Drosophila melanogaster: one gene and its partners. The protein of the gene in region 2 interacts with the protein of the main gene of each other region in a pairwise test. Each region holds a gene or a part of one and is shown on either strand. Other genes may lie near its edges.

Region 1 (5,848 bases), on a different chromosome or scaffold from region 2:
CGGAAATCTGGAATCTTTGACCGGTGACTTTCGTTGGGAAAACGGACCCATTGCCTTCACCGATCTGCAGGCGACACTGCTGAAGGTGCTTATCGTGCTGCTTCTGGGCACCTGCGTACTAGCCGGCTATTCGTGGTCCATTTACGGCAAAGTCATTACGGAGAAGTTTGTCAGGCCAAGTAGGAATATGCTTAAAATCAGGATGTTACGATAAGTTTACTTAAACGAAGGCCACGTCTTGCATTTCAGGCACGCTCAAGGAAATCGAGGAGCTTAAATTGTCGGTGGCCAAGTTGAAGCTGCCCAAGGAACACTCGCCGCGCATCTAGAAACCATGTCCAAGATTAAGAAGTTCTTTTCGCGGAAGAAGGCGGAGGCTGCCTTTAAGGTGGGTTCTTTCTTTAGCCAAGCCATTGGAAATCCCTTACCAAGTTCGTTTACAGCTCAATTTAACTGGCAGCGGCATGGGCACTGGCCACAAGCTGAATTCCCCCAAACAGGAGACTCCTTCAAGTAGTTCCCGCCAAAAGTATGAGGCCTATGTGCCACCAAAGCGAAATGAAATAAGTAACGAGGCCAGGGCAGCTGCCAGTGCGGCACTGGCGCGCATTGACAAGAAAACATCCAGGGAATTCAATACCTCGCTGTCGGCAGTGAAGGCACAGGCTAAAAGAGAGCTGGAGGCAGAGCGTCGCCAGAGAGAGGAAGCCATGGGCACGCCATCAACGACCAGCACATCCACATCGGCTTCCGGCGGCGACACTCGCAACCTGGCCTGCGAAGGCGTCTTCTTCCGCTGCCCCCTAATCAGCGAGGAGATTCTACCCAAGAGCGTGTGGAAGGTTCGCATCAAAGAGTTCCTCTACCAGCAGCTGGAGGCAGATCGCGGCCTCACCGCCTGCCTGATCATCCACAATTGCAATGTTAAGGAGAAGGCCGACGAGTGCATTGCCACGCTAATCCGATATCTGGAGAATCTTATCAAGAATCCCGAGGAGGAGAAGTTCTGCAAGATACGGATGTCCAACAAAATCTTCAGCGAAAAGGTGCGCTACGTGGAGGGTGCCCTGGATGTTCTGCAAGCAGCGGGCTTCAACGAGGTCCAGATCGATGGCGAACCCTTCCTTTTGTGGACCAAGGAGCAGACGGAGAAGGATCTCGACTTGCCCACACTAGTGGAAGCTCTCAAGAGCTCGGAGATTATTCCCCTGGAGCTGGATCGCAACATTAAGGTCCTACTTCCATCGCAGGCATGTCGTGTCGCCCTCCCCGACGAGTTTTATCGCCTGTCGCCGGAGGAGATCAAGAAAGAGCAACAGCTGCGATCCGAGGCCATTGCCCAGTCACAGATGCTGCGGACAAAGGCGATGCGGGAACGCGAGGAGCAGCGCAATTTGCGCATGTATCGATACGCTTTAGTCAGGGTTAAATTTCCCAATGGACTCTTTATACAAGTAAGCCATTCCGCGATGATGTCATCTGAAGTAATTTTATGTAATAAGCCGAATCATTTTCAGGGCACTTTCAATGTGTACGAAAAAATATCCGATGTGTTCGAGTTTGTCCAATCTTGCCTGGCGGACGAAAGCCTGGATTTTAGCTTGGTGTCCAACAGCGATGGCAAACTGGGCGATGAGGACTTGGAAAAGACACTATATGACTGCAAGTGAGTGATGCAATAATGTTTTCTTTAGGTACAACACTACATGATTTCCTTCATTTCAGACTCATTCCGAACACTCTGCTGCTGTTTAGCGCCAATGATACACCCGCTCCTTTGCAAACGGATATAAACTACTTAAAGGAAGACCTTCTAATGCTGGTGCAGGCTATGTAGAAGTGCTTTAACCCATATATTCAGCGGTATTTGTCCCTTATATTATAACAGAGCTGTTGTTATTTATTACTTTCAAATCTATTATTCAAAATCAATTATAAACGCACTTTACACAAAAGAAAATTTCTTTAAATTAATTTGGTTATTTGGCTGTTGCTACTTGTTCGCTTGAAATTTATTTATATTAAAAACTTATTTTTATATATTTGCTTAACTAAATACATACTTTCAAGCCACTGTGCGTCAAACAGCTGTTTGGTATCTTTTTGGCTGCGGTATTTCAGGTGGGCTTTTAAGCTTACCTGCAAACGGTCTTACTTATTGCAAAAATAAACAAAAATTGCAACGCTAGCAAGTGGAAATTGACGAATTATTATTTAACTATGAGCTTAAACTGTGAGCTGTGAGGAATTGTGAAAAGTGCACGAATCGCTGAACTATTTGGTGCTATGTAAATGTTAGTGAGTACGCAAGTCTAGAATCATATGTTTGTACCAAACAATAACAAAGTGCGGCCAATTGCATTTTGACCATAATTCCATTAACAAATGCCTAATTGTTGCTTAGTCACATTAGTTTCGGGGCTCAAAAAGTCATAAATAATGCCATTAATAAGCGGAGCAAATGTTACGCCTGTTTTGGAAGTTTCCCGCACTCTTTTGTGCGGTCAGCGCATCGCGTGGTTCCGCTGAAAACTTGTGGCCCACTGTAATTTCCCAATCCACGCGACTTTTCCTGGCCATTATCGAATTATTAATAGCATGTGGGTGCAATTTGTTGATGCGGACTACTAATTAAGCAGGCAGCTTGATCGTACGGCTGTCACATTTTAGAAACTGCTTGGAACTTAGCTCAATAATCAACCCTCTTTTTAACAATACGATATGAACTTATATGATCAATTTGAATTAATAGTTTAAACACATATTATCAGACTCATTAACTTACAACAAATGTAGCTTATCAATATACCCAACAAAGATACCTTAGAAAGATAAGATTATGCTATATAATAGATATATATGAATCCCCTTTGTTTCCAAAACATTTACACGAAATGAGAAAGTACATATATCGTATATCGTATATCGTGGGAGCCCAAAACTGGAGCATTGATCCTAATCCCAAGCTGGCTTCTTCGCTGCCACTAAACAAACAGTTGCATTTAATGAACCAATTTCGCAGTTGGCCTTTACTGTCTATCACGGCGGCATCGAAAACGGCCAAACTAAAAGTCTGTGGAGGAGTGAGGAGAGGAGTGGGTAGATTAAGGAGTGCTTCGCCCAGGCTCCGGGCACTGGCAATTTGGCGTAAATCTCGCTTGATCTTGGGAAAAGGTAAATAGAAAAGCAGCCAAAATCAAACATTAATGAATCTCTACGGCTCAGGGCTTAAATTAAGCCAAGCAATCGCGCCAAATCGAAACACGCAGCCACGAGAAGCCAAATAAAAAGCAGGCAGAAAGCCAGAGACTGCAAGCCATCGCATAAATTGGCCTGGGCTGGAGCCAAAGATTTCATTGTTGGCCATTGCTTATTATGGCCGGGCAGCGGATCTAGGCCTTCATTAAACGGCCAAAGGCAGCGGCTGCAGTTGCACCGGGAGAAATGTCACCAAAGTTGGTAGGCTACAGTTCTTAAATGATACTCAGTCCAATTAAGTGACCTTTTTTAATGCCTTATCTTTAAGATGTGTATTTAAATAAACCCTTTTGAAACTTTAGCACATCTTGCATACACGGCTTTTTCTCCCTGTGTACAATAGAGCCTTATTTCAACTTTGGTCCGCGAGGCTAGTGCGTGAGATATGCATTATTTATCTAGCGAAATTTTTCTCATTGCTGCAGCGGCAACTTGTTGCAGGCAGACTTCCTGGTTTCTTGGGCCCAGCTGCAGCCACTGCAGCCCAGCCAGGCCAGAAATTCCAAAATGATACGAATAGTTTGTTTCTGTCGGGAGATAGCGAGAAATATGTGGGACATCCTGAGGATCGTTGTCTTCTCTTTTTTTATTTTTTGGGGGGGAGCTGGAGATGGGGATGTGGATAGGGATTACGAGTTAGGGGTTAGCTGTTACCCATTGCCGGGTTGCAACCTGCACGTGCCTCGCCTCGCTGCGCCGCCTGATTGAACGATTGAAAGATCATCACCCGGCGCAAAATATCTGGCTGTACATAATGATGATGATGAGGTGCAAATTGCCGCTGCCATGAAATTGCAAATCAACTCTCCTGACTCCCGATTGCACTTCATTCTAAATTGTTTGCTCAACCCAGCAGCTCAGCCGTTTTGGCACTTCTTTCGCGAATCCTCCGGCGCCGGTGCAAAAATTGCAAATCGAATTTGCCAATTGCCGTGCTGCCTTCGCATCGCTCCACTCTCCGGTTGATTTGTTTTTGTGGTTTGGCCACGAACCAACCGCATTGCCCGCAAAACGGCAACAATTGCGAACCCGCCCTTTAACAAGCATTTAGCTTGCTCCGCCAAGCTCGTGACCCATTCCCATGCCCATTCCCGCTGCCTAGTGGCCAAGAACTTCTCCAATACGCCGGGCATGTTTATGACCCGGCTCGAAATTGAAGTGGAAATCGGTTAGCAAGCAGTGGGTTCGCTTTTCGATTTGTTTTTATCGCTCCACGCAAGCGCCCTGAATTTGCATATTTCTGCCTGCATTTGAACCCTGAACTCGAGGGGCCAAAGGAAATGCGATCCCAAAAAAGTGAGCAGGAAGACAGCGGCGTTAGTTCGCTCCTGGCGGAAATACTTCCCCTATGACGGGAAAAACAAATAAATAACCATAATTAAGGCTTGTGCTTTAATTAACACCACTGAACTTGGGCGACACAACTGGCATAGTAAGAAATGATATTTCTGGAAGCCGGAAGCAAGTATACTCTTTTGCATTCGATACAAATAGAATATAAATATTTGTATTCATGCTTATAATAATAAGTTAACTACTTATTATTATATAATAATAATTATAATTATATAATTATAATATAACCAATAAAAACAAGTTAAAATATAACTTTAATAATCATTAAAATACCATCTTTATCTTTAACTATTAACTAGTTCACATTATATGCTCCAATTTACCCTACCATGCAACCTATCACAATTCGCAATCAAATAAGAACTTCCGGTCCACTCAGCGAGTGTTTTATGAATGAAAATCTTGTCTCATTGTCTCAGCCAGCTCCTCATCCCCATCCCCATCTCCATCCACATCGCCATCATCATCGCTGTCCAGCAGTCGATCTCGATGTCCATCGTCCGATGGTCACGCTCATCGCCAATTAGTGCAATCAACAGTGCGGCTGAGATGGTGGGTGCGGTTTTTCTGGACCTCAGTGACTGGGTGCTTCATCGGGTTGCATTTGGTTGGACCTCAACCTAGGCAATTGCTAGGGAAATCTTACAGAGTTCACTTGATAAGATTAATTGACTCGGCCTCCCTTCGGTTTGTCAGCTAAAATGTAACACAATCCCTGGTGTAGTGGTAGAAACTTTAAGCTATTGAAATATTAATATGGGGCTTGGACCTACAAAGTACCAATCCTAACTTCGCTTAAACCAATATTCATTCAAAGAGTTACCTATCATAACTTACCATTATAAACTATCATAACATACTTATACAAATATACTAACTTCAATTTAACTGTGGATAGTTTTGGCGTCTTTCTTTCAAATTTAATGACTTATAAAAGACTTAATTTTCCCATCAAACTATTAGTATTAGTATTATTATTAATATTATCCATATACTCTATAGGCTTCGAAAGAAATCCTTCTATCTTTCAGATACTTCTTAACGATATAAAAGTTTACAGTTTCATAATATGCAAAACTAGTTGCAACAATGTTGTACAAGCGAATTCGCTGCGATTAAACAGCATAATTAAAACGATCAGATATTGCAAAAGTCGAATGTACATTTTATTGGCTATTGCGACCAGCAGCTCGTTCAATTTATAACGTACCCCCTCGATAAACTCAACCATCCC
Region 2 (5,466 bases):
ATACATTCATACATACATACTTCCATCCATCCGTACATACATATGTATAGCGTCTTTTCTACGTAAACGTATCTATTGAGTGGAAGCATGTGTTCCGTTTGTCACTTTTACCAACTTTATGAGTGTCTGCCACCCAAGTTCTTTCTAACTTTTCCCCCCCAAAGCGCAATTCCCAGCCCTATTTGCTCCACTTTGCCTGCCGTAGCCAAATGTAGGTGATGGCTTCCATATCAATATGCATATAGCCATCAGTCAGGCACTCATTCTATCAAGTCATCAGTTGGGCCGCCATCCGCAGTCCAATAAACAATGGAGAAGGAACAGGCTGAGCCGAGCAGGAAACTCGAATGGGGAACACCCTAACAGTGAGTTGTGCATAAATCCAAGAAAGTCACGTCCCTTTGGAAATTTATGGCTAACAAGAGGGTCTACATGACATAATTTGCATCGAGAATACTGCGCTGAATGTAACTTTTGAAATGCTCTATCTGGATAAGGTTCTTAGTTGGTCTAGTTGAATGTGTTACCACACTATCCGATCCTTATTTGCCCGAAAATAGATTTTAGTGGTCGGGGAACCCATGACAGAATTTGCGATGTATGACCACCCATCATCAAAAGTGTTACGCACACGAGTTTTCACTTACAAGCATATATGCTTGGGGAACACATGTAAATATTCGATTTTATGCAAATTCGTAACCTTTTCCATGTACATACAACAAAGCCACAGTTGGCGTGCCTTTGCAGAATTTCGGACTCGAACTGGGACTACAATGAGTTCCTTTTAATCCTCCCCCCATTTCCCCTGGCAGTGCTTTATGCATTTCCTCTGGCCGATTTTAAAGTTTAAAAGTCAAGAAGCCGGGCGCTTTTTATGGCACATTTGCATGTCGGCTAAGGAGTTTTAGCCAGATCCAAACTTAGATTTCTATCGGTGTGCCAAAGGTAAATGTGAATAGTGCAAGGTGTAAGGGTATATCGCATGACATTGGGCGAGCCTTGTGAAACGGAAACGAAAATAGCTGAAGATATAAGGATATATAGGGCAAGTCAGGCCATCAAGGAAGGTGAAGGAGACCCAAGCGTACTGGTATACTTTATTCTCGGTTTTCTAGATGTAATTTTGTTTGTCTAAATTGCTATCGTAAAATGTGTATCGCGCGGACTATAAGAAAACCACATTAGGCAAACTGAAGAGATGGCTGTGTTGAATAAAAATTGATTAAAAATGTCTGACTATCAAACAAACTATTGAAATATTTATGCGGAGATCCTAATTTGATTATGGTTCTTAAGCGGGCTATTACAGAAATTTAATCCGACTTTGAAAGCGCAGTGCAATTACATAGTAATTTTAACCCTGCTTCCATTGAAATATCCCTGATGTTATATAAAACCGCTAAGCTTTTGTTACTTGTTCACTTGTTATGAGTATACTAGTTGGTAATCTCGATAATATTACTATGTTACGTTTCTGATTTGATCTGTCTCGATTGGTCGTGTTACTGGTTTCCGCCTATTATAGTTGCGACCTCTGGCGGCGATCGTGGATAATATTCTAACGGTGAAGAGTGAATCTTTCAGTCTCCACCGATCTCTTCTCCAACTCACACACACTACTCCACTTCTATTCTGAATGGAAGATCATTGCTAAATATAGCGGGAATATGCAATTAGCTACATTCATCCCCCTCCCACCACATTGGTGACTCTTTGGAGTTGACTGAAACTACAACTTCCACGTGAAGACAACAATTTCATATCACACTCATATCTATAACCATATGTATGTATAAGCATACATATGTGCATGTAAGCATATGCACATAATCGGGCTTATCTGCTTCCGAGCTGTACATAAGGTCGTCAAAAAAAAATGCGATAGAACGCAACCTTCCCTTTTTTCCAGTTGGAATTTGAGACCTAGCGATCTGGGCTAGGTTGGTCATTAGAAACAATGGACAAACAAACGAGTTTTTATTTTTTTCGAATGACGTCACCAAGAATGACAACAAAAGGCGGTTTAAAAATAAAAGCAACGTCAATAGTATGTTTCTTTTTAGCCAAGTTAGTTAGTTGGAATTGGAAACGCGGTGTTAAGAGATTTTGCCGCGCTCGCATACCACAACAAAAACAGAGCGCACACAAATACACATGGTGATTACAACGCCAACAGCATTCACCTGTACCCGCTCACTTTCCCCCACCCCTTGCTAAACAACCCACTTTTCTCAAGCGCATGCGCTGACTCTCTCAAAAGCTGCTCCATCTCACTCACTCCCTCGCTCGTTTGCTCTTGTGCTTTGGCGGCTTTTTGTATGTGTCCCGCTATGGCACTCCTCTCTGGTATTTTTGTGGATGTGCCTGTGTGGAGCATAAATAAAAGCAACCGACGCATTTTGCTACTAGAAACCCATAGAAATCGAAAAATAATACTGGGATGTACTGTGTACTGCGTAATCAAGTTTTTTGGTAAAAATTTCTGGACTATTTTCGGTGGCACTACACTGCACTACAAAAACAAAATATGGGGGGACTGGAAGAGAGAGGGAGAGAGAGTGGGAGCCGTTACAATTACACAGTTTTTGTTGGTACGTGGCTGAAGAAAGTATTCAATGGGTTGGAGAGGGGGATACCAAAAACTAAGACGAAAACTCACCTAAATTGTGGGTTCACACTGCTGTGTTGTTGTTACTTCTGCTGCTATGGATATTCACGAATGAATATTCCTGAAGAAGGGAAGACGTCGAATTTGGGAAGGCAGAGGAGAGTCAGCAACAGCAGCACCAGCTAATAACACCCACACCACGCTCCGCATAACACTGTACAATTTTGACAAACTTTACTCCCGAATGGGATTTTATATTTTAAAAGTATTTTTTTTTTTGGAAAAATTTTGTCACCGAATATTACACATCGAATTTGTTGTCTCTGTCTGCTTGGGTTAACAACATTCTCAAAGCGAGCTTTTTGCACTTGTCTTGGATTTAAATATTGTAACGAAAAACGTATAAACACAATCAGGCAGCGAAGAAAAGCTCTCTTCTGAGATAGTTAAAAAAATAACATTATAATTGCACTAATTTTTCACACCAAACTATGATCGCATTTTCCCCGGCGATTTATGTATTTTTGGATATTTCGAGTGCGAATGGGGAGCCCAGCGACCCGAGCAGTTGGAGATTCCGGAAAGTTGTGAGTTAATTGTTCATCTCGGTTCATTTTGCTAGACCAGGGCTTGAGAAACACACGAAAGTATCGATTAAATGCTCGATATTTTTTTTTGAAATGCGTTCCGTTACTTTTACATTCACCTGGAGTGGAAAATGTATACATTTTTTGGACCAGAAACAAACTGGTAATTTTTATGACAAGCGAATTTTAAGCATTAAAAAGGAATTTAATCGCATTACTATTTTTATTTCAAACAGCTATGATAGTAAGTGTAATAGTAATTTAAATTAATATAATTTGTTTTAGCTTGATATCTTAAGAACAATCAGAGTGCAATTCCAAAATGTAAATAAAATTTTTGCTTTATTTGAAAAAATATTATAATTCTTATTTTTTAACGGTACAAAAATACACAGCTTAGCGGTGACACGAACCGCGATGTATTTGAATATAAAAGTAAATTGGATTCATAGTCTTTTTTCTCTAAAATTTCTTAAAATCTTTTATCTGAGACAAATAAATCATTTCGGAAGTCCAATTGGTTTCGTTATTACTAGCTTCTATTTCTGTATTGCATTTTCGTAAGAAAAGGAAATTTCGAAACAAATTTAAAGAAAGAGCTCTATTAAATTGTAATATGTTTTTGAAATGTGTTCTCTTTACATTCGATTTAAAAAGTCTTCGTCTTTCGACGACTATCGATCCTCTGTTATCGAAGCATCGCAAAGTATCGAGTACGGATTCCCCACTGAAGTTTGAAATCATTCTCGCGAGTGGATCTCTCGAGAGCGGACGTTTTTCGAGTCGGAGCCGGGTCGAGTCGAGGGCCCCAACTTGGAATTTTCTTTCCGATTGACTTGGAAAATAGCTTCTTCGTCGCGTGCGAGTGTGTGTGTGTGTATGTGTGTGCGCGCGGTGTGGAGTTTATAAAAAGAAGTCGAAAAGTGTTTGCCGCATCAACGAAAATAAAAACACCCAAGAAGAGTGTTTGTTGTTTTGTCTGTATAACAGAAAACTGATTTTCTCAACTTCACCTCTGCACATCGATCAAGGACTAGATATAGATGCATCATATGTAGCCGAATTAAAGTATCTGGTAAAGTAGCTGTTGATGAATCTTAAGAAACCGATTTACAGTTAGTTTTTGGATCCACGCGTAGTTTTTACGCAGGTTTCAACAGCTGCAGTCCCCCCGTCTCGCTCACTCCTTCTCCCTGCCTATTCTGTTTCTGTCTTGAGGTTTATCTTGTGGCCTGTTTTTGTTGTTACTTCACTTGCGTACTTCTATTTCCACTCCTTCGCATCCGCTGCCGTTGTTGTTTTTGTTGTGGCACACTGCCTCTTTTTATCGCCTCTCTGTTACGAACAGAAAACTCAAGATAACTCCAAAAAACTCGAAGGGGGCAAGGGCTTCAAATGCCTTTTAAGATCCCCAAATCATTTAAGGGATTTCGGGATAATTCTAAAAAATGAATATATTATTATCTATTAAAAATTAATATTTTATATTAAGGTAACCTCTTTTTTAGTTTTGAAAAAATAAATAATTTTTACAGTTCTTTTTAGAGATTTTCCGGTTAGATTTTTTTCAAATGTTAAAAGTTTTTTGGTCGTACTATTTTAAAATGTAGAGGGGTTACTATTGTTAGATAGTTTTAATACTTAAGTTATATTTCATTTTCGTTATCTTTCTATAATTCATTTGTTATAGAAAGCGTGCAAGTGAGCATCGATGTCGATCTCTAGATTTTAGCAATATATTTCTGTTTCTTCTAGATATTCTTATTTCAGTATCTCATAAATATCTCATGTACTGTGGGACTTTTGTTAAGTTCCTGATAAGCTTGTTTAAAATATTTTCCATCTTGTGTCTCCATTTTCTAATCTTTTCAAAAGTTACTCTACTATGTCACAGAGCAGTGCTAAGAAGCATTTGAATGCACATCTACTTTGGCTAGGGAATTTTTGTAGATTAAGCATACAAACCCGAACATATAGAAACATGATGCCATAACGGCAAGCCAAGTGAATGACTGCATGTGGACTAAAAAAGTGCATTGCCAAGCTGATTTTCTTTATTTCAGCGACCATGGAGAACGGGCTAATTAAAATGTGAGCCGGGCCTGTCGCCTTGATGCAGATGTGCAGCCGACGAATTAATTTATCTAGATTGGATTGCGGACTGTGGGCAGAAAGGATTTAGTATTTAGTCGGTGTCTTCTAATTATAGCCGCTCTATCGCGGTCTGATCTCATATTTAGACGGTAGACTTCCACAACATGTGTGCTC
Region 3 (5,772 bases), on a different chromosome or scaffold from region 2:
TTTTTCCAACCCATTTCTGGCGGCTTATCGATACTAATTTGAAATAGTATGTATGTATCTCAGGATTTGCTTTACCTTTACTTAAATTATTATTAAAAACTATATAATATCATATTGAAAATCTTCAAAAGTTTAGGTGTCTTCAAAACTTGTTTATTTTTACAAATTCATATATTGACAAATGCACTCTACTTGAATAAATATTTTATGGCATCTTAAGTGTGAATTTCTTTTTTTAATTTCGTGCGAATTGAATTCTATCTCTCTAGACACCTACAATTGTGCTTCAAAATCTTTACAGACGAAATACCTTAACATAAACATAAAGTGGGACGAAAATAAATTCATTGAACCTGTGACACAATAAATAATCATCTAGGCATGCTAATCCTTGCGAAATCCGGGGGGCAGCGTCACATCGAAAACGATGGGGGCATTGTTGGGTAGGTAGTTGATGTCACACGTTGAGGCATTCACAAAGATGATCCTGCCATCGCTGGTGATGCCGTAGCCTTCGTGTACATGTCCGAAGACATGGTATTTCGGGCGCACTCGTTGCTGCACTGTGCTGAGTAGCTCCACACAACCGGCTCGTACGCCGGAACAGCAGAGATCGCCGTGACCCACGGGCGGCGTGTGGGTGACCAGGATATCGATGCCTTCCGGGATTTGATTCCACTTATCCAAACAGGCAGTTCCACGTGGAACATTAAAGGCCCAGCGACAGAATTCCGGTTGCCATGGCGAGCCATATATTTGAATACCCCAAATCTCAAGTAGTTCATCCTCCAAATACCGACAGTTGGTCAGAACATCGCGGACATTCTGCGTTTGCACAGCGCTCTCCAAGTTCTCCTTGGCGTTGCCCAAAGTGGGCAGATCATCGAGGATGGACATGCCGGTGTGTTTGCTGCTCGAAGCATGACTTTTGCTCTTCTGGAAAGGATGGGTGAAGGTTCTATCGAAGCTGAGCTCATGATTGCCAGCAATCACGATCTTGTGGCGATGGGGCAGTGCTCCAATCCAGGTGTTAAACTCCTCCACCTCCTCCAGTTGGCCGCACTTGGTAAAATCGCCGGCATGTATGAATATATCGCCATCTGGTATATCGAACTTGATGTAGGGCGTCAGGGAGTGCGTGTCGGACATGCAAACCACTCGTGCCTTGTTGGGCGCCACCGTGGTGGTCGGTGGCTTCATTGTCACCTTGATCACGCGCTGCGTTTTGCTAATCTCCCTCCAAGCGGCCGTGGGATCCTGGCTAAGTGGATGTACTGGCACTTCCATTTTGATATCTGCAATGGTGGCGTGTGAGGATTACTATGAATTTTCTTATGGAGAACTGGTTTGTTTACGTATAATTCAGCGAGGTATTTAAACACAGATACTAAATCTTTTGTTTAAGATAGTAAGAGCTATACATAAGACGTGGCCATGAATGTTATCTTACTAAGACAGTTCTTTAATTTTAAAGTACTGGGAATTATGGGTTTTTCGTGTGATTCGTAAATTTCATATATTAAAATATTCAATGCAATTACATTTGTGTTAAAAGGACAGGCACTTGAAAAAGATTTAATGAGTGTTGTAGTTAAGCCAATATAATTGGCGTACGTTCCAATTTAGGAAGCATTTGTAACTATATCTAAAGAGTAGAGTTAAAAGTCACAACTAATACAGGTAACAGCTTCATTTGTCAAATTAATACTGTTAATTCCTTTTACTTACTTTTAGTTATAAACTTTCCAAGCGATTCTTCCTTTTTTGCTTCTTTGCGCCTCGCCGACTTCTGATTGTTTTAGGCCATTGTGTTAGGCCTTTAAGCACACGTTGCAATCGCCGGCGACATGGTCGCGCCCTGATTAGTGCGCGTTTATTTATGTTTAGTCAAGTATTTGCAGATAAATGCGATATACTAATTTGATAATACCAATCAAAATACAAGAAATTGAGTGTTCACGCGTGACGTCATTGCCGGGGCAAAACAGCTGAGCGCCGATAGTGCAACGTAATGAAAAACGTAACGTACAATCGCCTATCGATTGGCAAGTTTCTAACGTAGCCCTGGTCAAAACAAAAATCAGCTGCTTTATAATTTTCTGCTTCTTCGCTACGCGTAAATTTTCGTCCAACATTTGCAGTAAAAAACGTTCCTAAAATTGGCTAAATCAAATTGGAAATAGTGTTTTTTTCGTGTGCATTTGTGTCAAAGAATGATAGAAGTGTTCTTTGAGTGTTTAAAAAGTGAAACGTGATTAAAAGCTGGAATTCCAGGCTGGGCAAGCAAAAAATGGCCGCAGCTGCAACTTTTGCAGACGCGTATTGTTTTTAGCCATCAATTTTTAATTACGGATTGTATTCGATTGCAATGGATCAATTAGAGCTGCAGGACGATTTGTTTGGTTTGGAAGCAGGTGTTGCAGGTGAGTTATTTCGCAATTTGTCGTCTCTTCTTAGTTTTCAGCTGCATAAGTGGCTATTTATGGGATTTAAAGAGCCTTCTGCGTGATTTTCTCGATTTTCCCTTTTGCATCGCGCAACTCTTGCGATTAACTGCACTTGTTCTTAGTTTTATGCTTTTGTTGCTAATTGCACACGCCCACTAATTGTTTGACTGTGTGCGCTGTTGTGTGTGTGTGTGTGTTATCTCACTGCATTTCACTCACTGCCTCGCCTCCTTTGTTCTCTCCCGCCCCTCCCACTTGGACCTTCACACACTTCACCTCTTCTGCATCTGTTTATCCGTTATCCATTTGTTTGTTTGCTTTGTCTTCCTCATTTGTTAAGTGATGATTCACTTTGATTGCCGGCCATCCACACGCACTCGTCATCTCTCTCTCTCTCTCTCTCTCTCTCGCCTACTCTCTTTCTCCTGCTCGCACTTGCACACCTAATCAAATTGAACAATTTATGGTTTTGATTCACTGTACCACAGTGGTGCAAGTTCTTAGTGCACAGGAAACGGTTTGTTTACTTTGAAAAACTTCTATCTTAAGGGCTTCTAAGTGCTTATATGTATGTACAATATCTTCACAGAGAGTCGCCGGTAAGTTTGGGCGTCTATGAAAATATTTACCTCTGCTCTTGATTTAGATCAAAGTGGGATTTTCATTCTAATTTTGGGTTCTTTGTTTACACTTGGGTATCGCAAATTTTGCAACAAAGGAATATAAAGCTACAAATATACGTACATACATACATACATATGTTTGCTTCTGGCTTCAATCGAAAAACTTAAATGCTTGCTTTGCGGCTTTGTCGCTAGGGAACCATTAGTTTTATTAGAAGCACTTGAGAACACATATAAGCATACATATATAAAGAGTTGCGACAAAACTAAGTTTAAAATTTAATGACTAAAGATATATGCAAAAATGATTGCATGACTATCTTATGCTTTTTTGCATGCCAAAGGTAATGAACACAAGCTGTGCAATAAATAATCTAGTATTTGTCTGAAACAAATAAGTCTTTGCCCACCGTTGACATAATGCAGTTTACATCTCATCCTTTGTCTTCTTTAATTTATGGTCTCAACGTTTTCCCTTTTTCCTTCTACTTTTTATTTGGCACACAGCAATTCCGAGATTGATTTACCGCCGATTTAAGCCGGTACGCGATCCGATTTGGCCCTATCTCAATATTTCCCCCAAAAACAAACCCGCCCACTCACTTCTACGCTTTTCATTCACAATCGCAACCAAAAAAAAAAAAAAAAGGCGGGAAAAACAGAGTGCCAAATAAACCTTGATAATGACATTCAGCGCCGAAAGAGGAAGAAAAGCAAAACAAACGTCTGGCGTCACAATGGGTGTGTTGGGATTTTATTTCCATTTGGTTTTGCTGCTCTTTCAGCAGCAGCACCACCACTACCATCGCTACCACCATCAGCACCACCTGGCAGTTATCCAACGGATTTTGTAGCGCAGTGTGGCAAAATTAGAAAATTCCGCCAGCCATCCAAAGTCAAATGTCGAGTCGTCGTTACCATCACCTGTGCGAAATTGCATAAGTTCGGGCTCCAAACGCTCGTACATCAGCCCATTTTCATTTTCATTCTCATTCTCATTTGTTTGCCCGCCGTCAAGGCACACAGTACCAAAAGCCAAAGGGAAAACACACTAGTCCGATTCAAAATCCGAGTGCAGAGAAATAGGTTTATATAGCCCACTTGGGTCCAACAAAAATCAAGTGCGTTCCCAATTCTTTTTTAGCGGGTGTAAAGTGCGTTCCGGTCGCGTGTTTGGTTCGCCTTCTCGAATCGCGTGCCAGTCGATCATTTTCGTAGTAGCAACTCCTAGTTATGCGGTGGGCGTGATGTAATTCGCCAATTGCAATAAAAGCAGTTAACTAATTCAGCAAACCAATATTGTACAAATGGAAAGTGCCCGTGCTTGTGGGCCAAAGTGCTAATTTTTCGTACATATGGCAAACAATCTGGGCGCGTTCATAATCAATTTAACTGTTTGTCGTTACAAAATGCTTTACGCGGCATTGTTTTCTTTATTATGTTTGCTTATTTACTTTTTTTTTACCTAACTTGGAGAAATCAATTTGCACAAAGTTTGTTTAGCAATTCGCCAAGGCATTTGGTCATTTCCATAAAGGAAAATCAGCAGGGAGAATTATACACAGTCTATCTTTAGAAACTATGACTTTTTCAGGTTTGCAAATCGTTCAAAACTTTGATTCAAACATTAGAATTTTAGGGAATCAATACAACTTTTGGATTATCGTAAGATAAAACTCTACTTTTGATTAGTTGACTAGACTTCTTTAAGTTATTTAAAATCAATGCTTAATAAAGTAAGAAAAACATAATGTAACTTTAAAGAATACTACAATTGAAATGTGTTTCCATCGATTTTGTGTTTTCAATTTGTATTGATACATCTTTTTAAAGAATTTACCCAGTCAACTGGATTCCCAATTTCTAATCCCTTCTAGCAAGTGGAGCGCACTTGCATTGAATTGAATTACCGCGGTTTTCCACACGGAATTCGGGTTAAGGACGTCCTGTGAAGTGTTGTAGTTGGAGCTCAGCTTCAGCCTTGGCACTCTGCGGGATTTCCACGCCGCCGAGGGCGGAAAGTTTTCCACTTAGCACTTCTCTGCGGGAAGGCGCGGCCCAGGTTACCGCCAGTAAATTGAAGCTAATGCGACAGATATAGATATATGTATGTTTATCCATCCACTAGCTGTGCTAATCAGCTAGAATCCGCAAAGAGAGAAGGCAAAGAGGTAAACAAACAAATGGTTTTCATCATCTCCCATTTGGTACAACGCGGCGTATGAGTGTTGTTGTTTTGAAAACAACTCAGCTGATTTTTGATTTCGCCGCAGTAGCCAAACAGCTGTTCCGTTCGCTCCAAACTCTCTTTCTCTCTCTCTCTCTCCCTCTCTCTCGCAATTGTTAATCATAATTTTAAATAGACAATAATCGTTTGTTTTGATTTCGAGCTTCCAATTTGCGAGCGTGCGCGAGTTGCTCACATTTTGTTGATTTTTGTACAGTATTATTTTCTGAGTTTCTTGTTGTTGTATTCTGCTGCCATTGACGTCGCGCTCGCTCTTTTTTTTGTATTTGTTTTTGGTTTTTTTTTCCCGTATAGCCCGTCCGTTTTTTTTCGGTTCGTTTTCGCCGCAGTCGAAATTCGTCGTCGTCGCCGTCGTTTGCCTCGCATTTTGCACTTTGCGGTCCGTTCGAAATTTTTATTTTGGATTTAACGCGAGCTACCCGTCTATATATACCACTATATATAATATCCGTCT

What was found.
Region 1: the proteins of Cdc14 (region 2) and Ntan1 interact in a two-hybrid assay, tested with the Drosophila melanogaster proteins (one large-scale study listed by BioGRID).
Region 3: the proteins of Cdc14 (region 2) and fry interact in a two-hybrid assay, tested with the Drosophila melanogaster proteins (one large-scale study listed by BioGRID).

Annotation. Positions count from the first base shown.
Region 1 is NT_033778.4:18,654,526-18,660,373, reverse strand, and holds the start of Ntan1 (N-terminal amidohydrolase 1), read left to right. Parts: upstream 1-2,151; 5' UTR 2,152-2,298; intron 2,299-5,848. Other genes in the region: CG42306 (uncharacterized protein), read left to right, coding at 1-179, 250-329; Gint3 (GDI interacting protein 3), read left to right, coding at 335-388, 444-1,454, 1,518-1,666, 1,726-1,837.
Region 2 is NT_033779.5:7,807,500-7,812,965, forward strand, and holds the start of Cdc14 (cell division cycle 14), read right to left. Parts: upstream 3,205-5,466; 5' UTR 2,663-3,204; intron 1-2,662.
Region 3 is NT_037436.4:9,675,423-9,681,194, reverse strand, and holds the start of fry (furry), read left to right. Parts: upstream 1-2,091; 5' UTR 2,092-2,368; coding exon 2,369-2,423; intron 2,424-5,703; exon of another isoform or gene 5,704-5,772. Other genes in the region: CG16717 (uncharacterized protein), read right to left, coding at 385-1,287.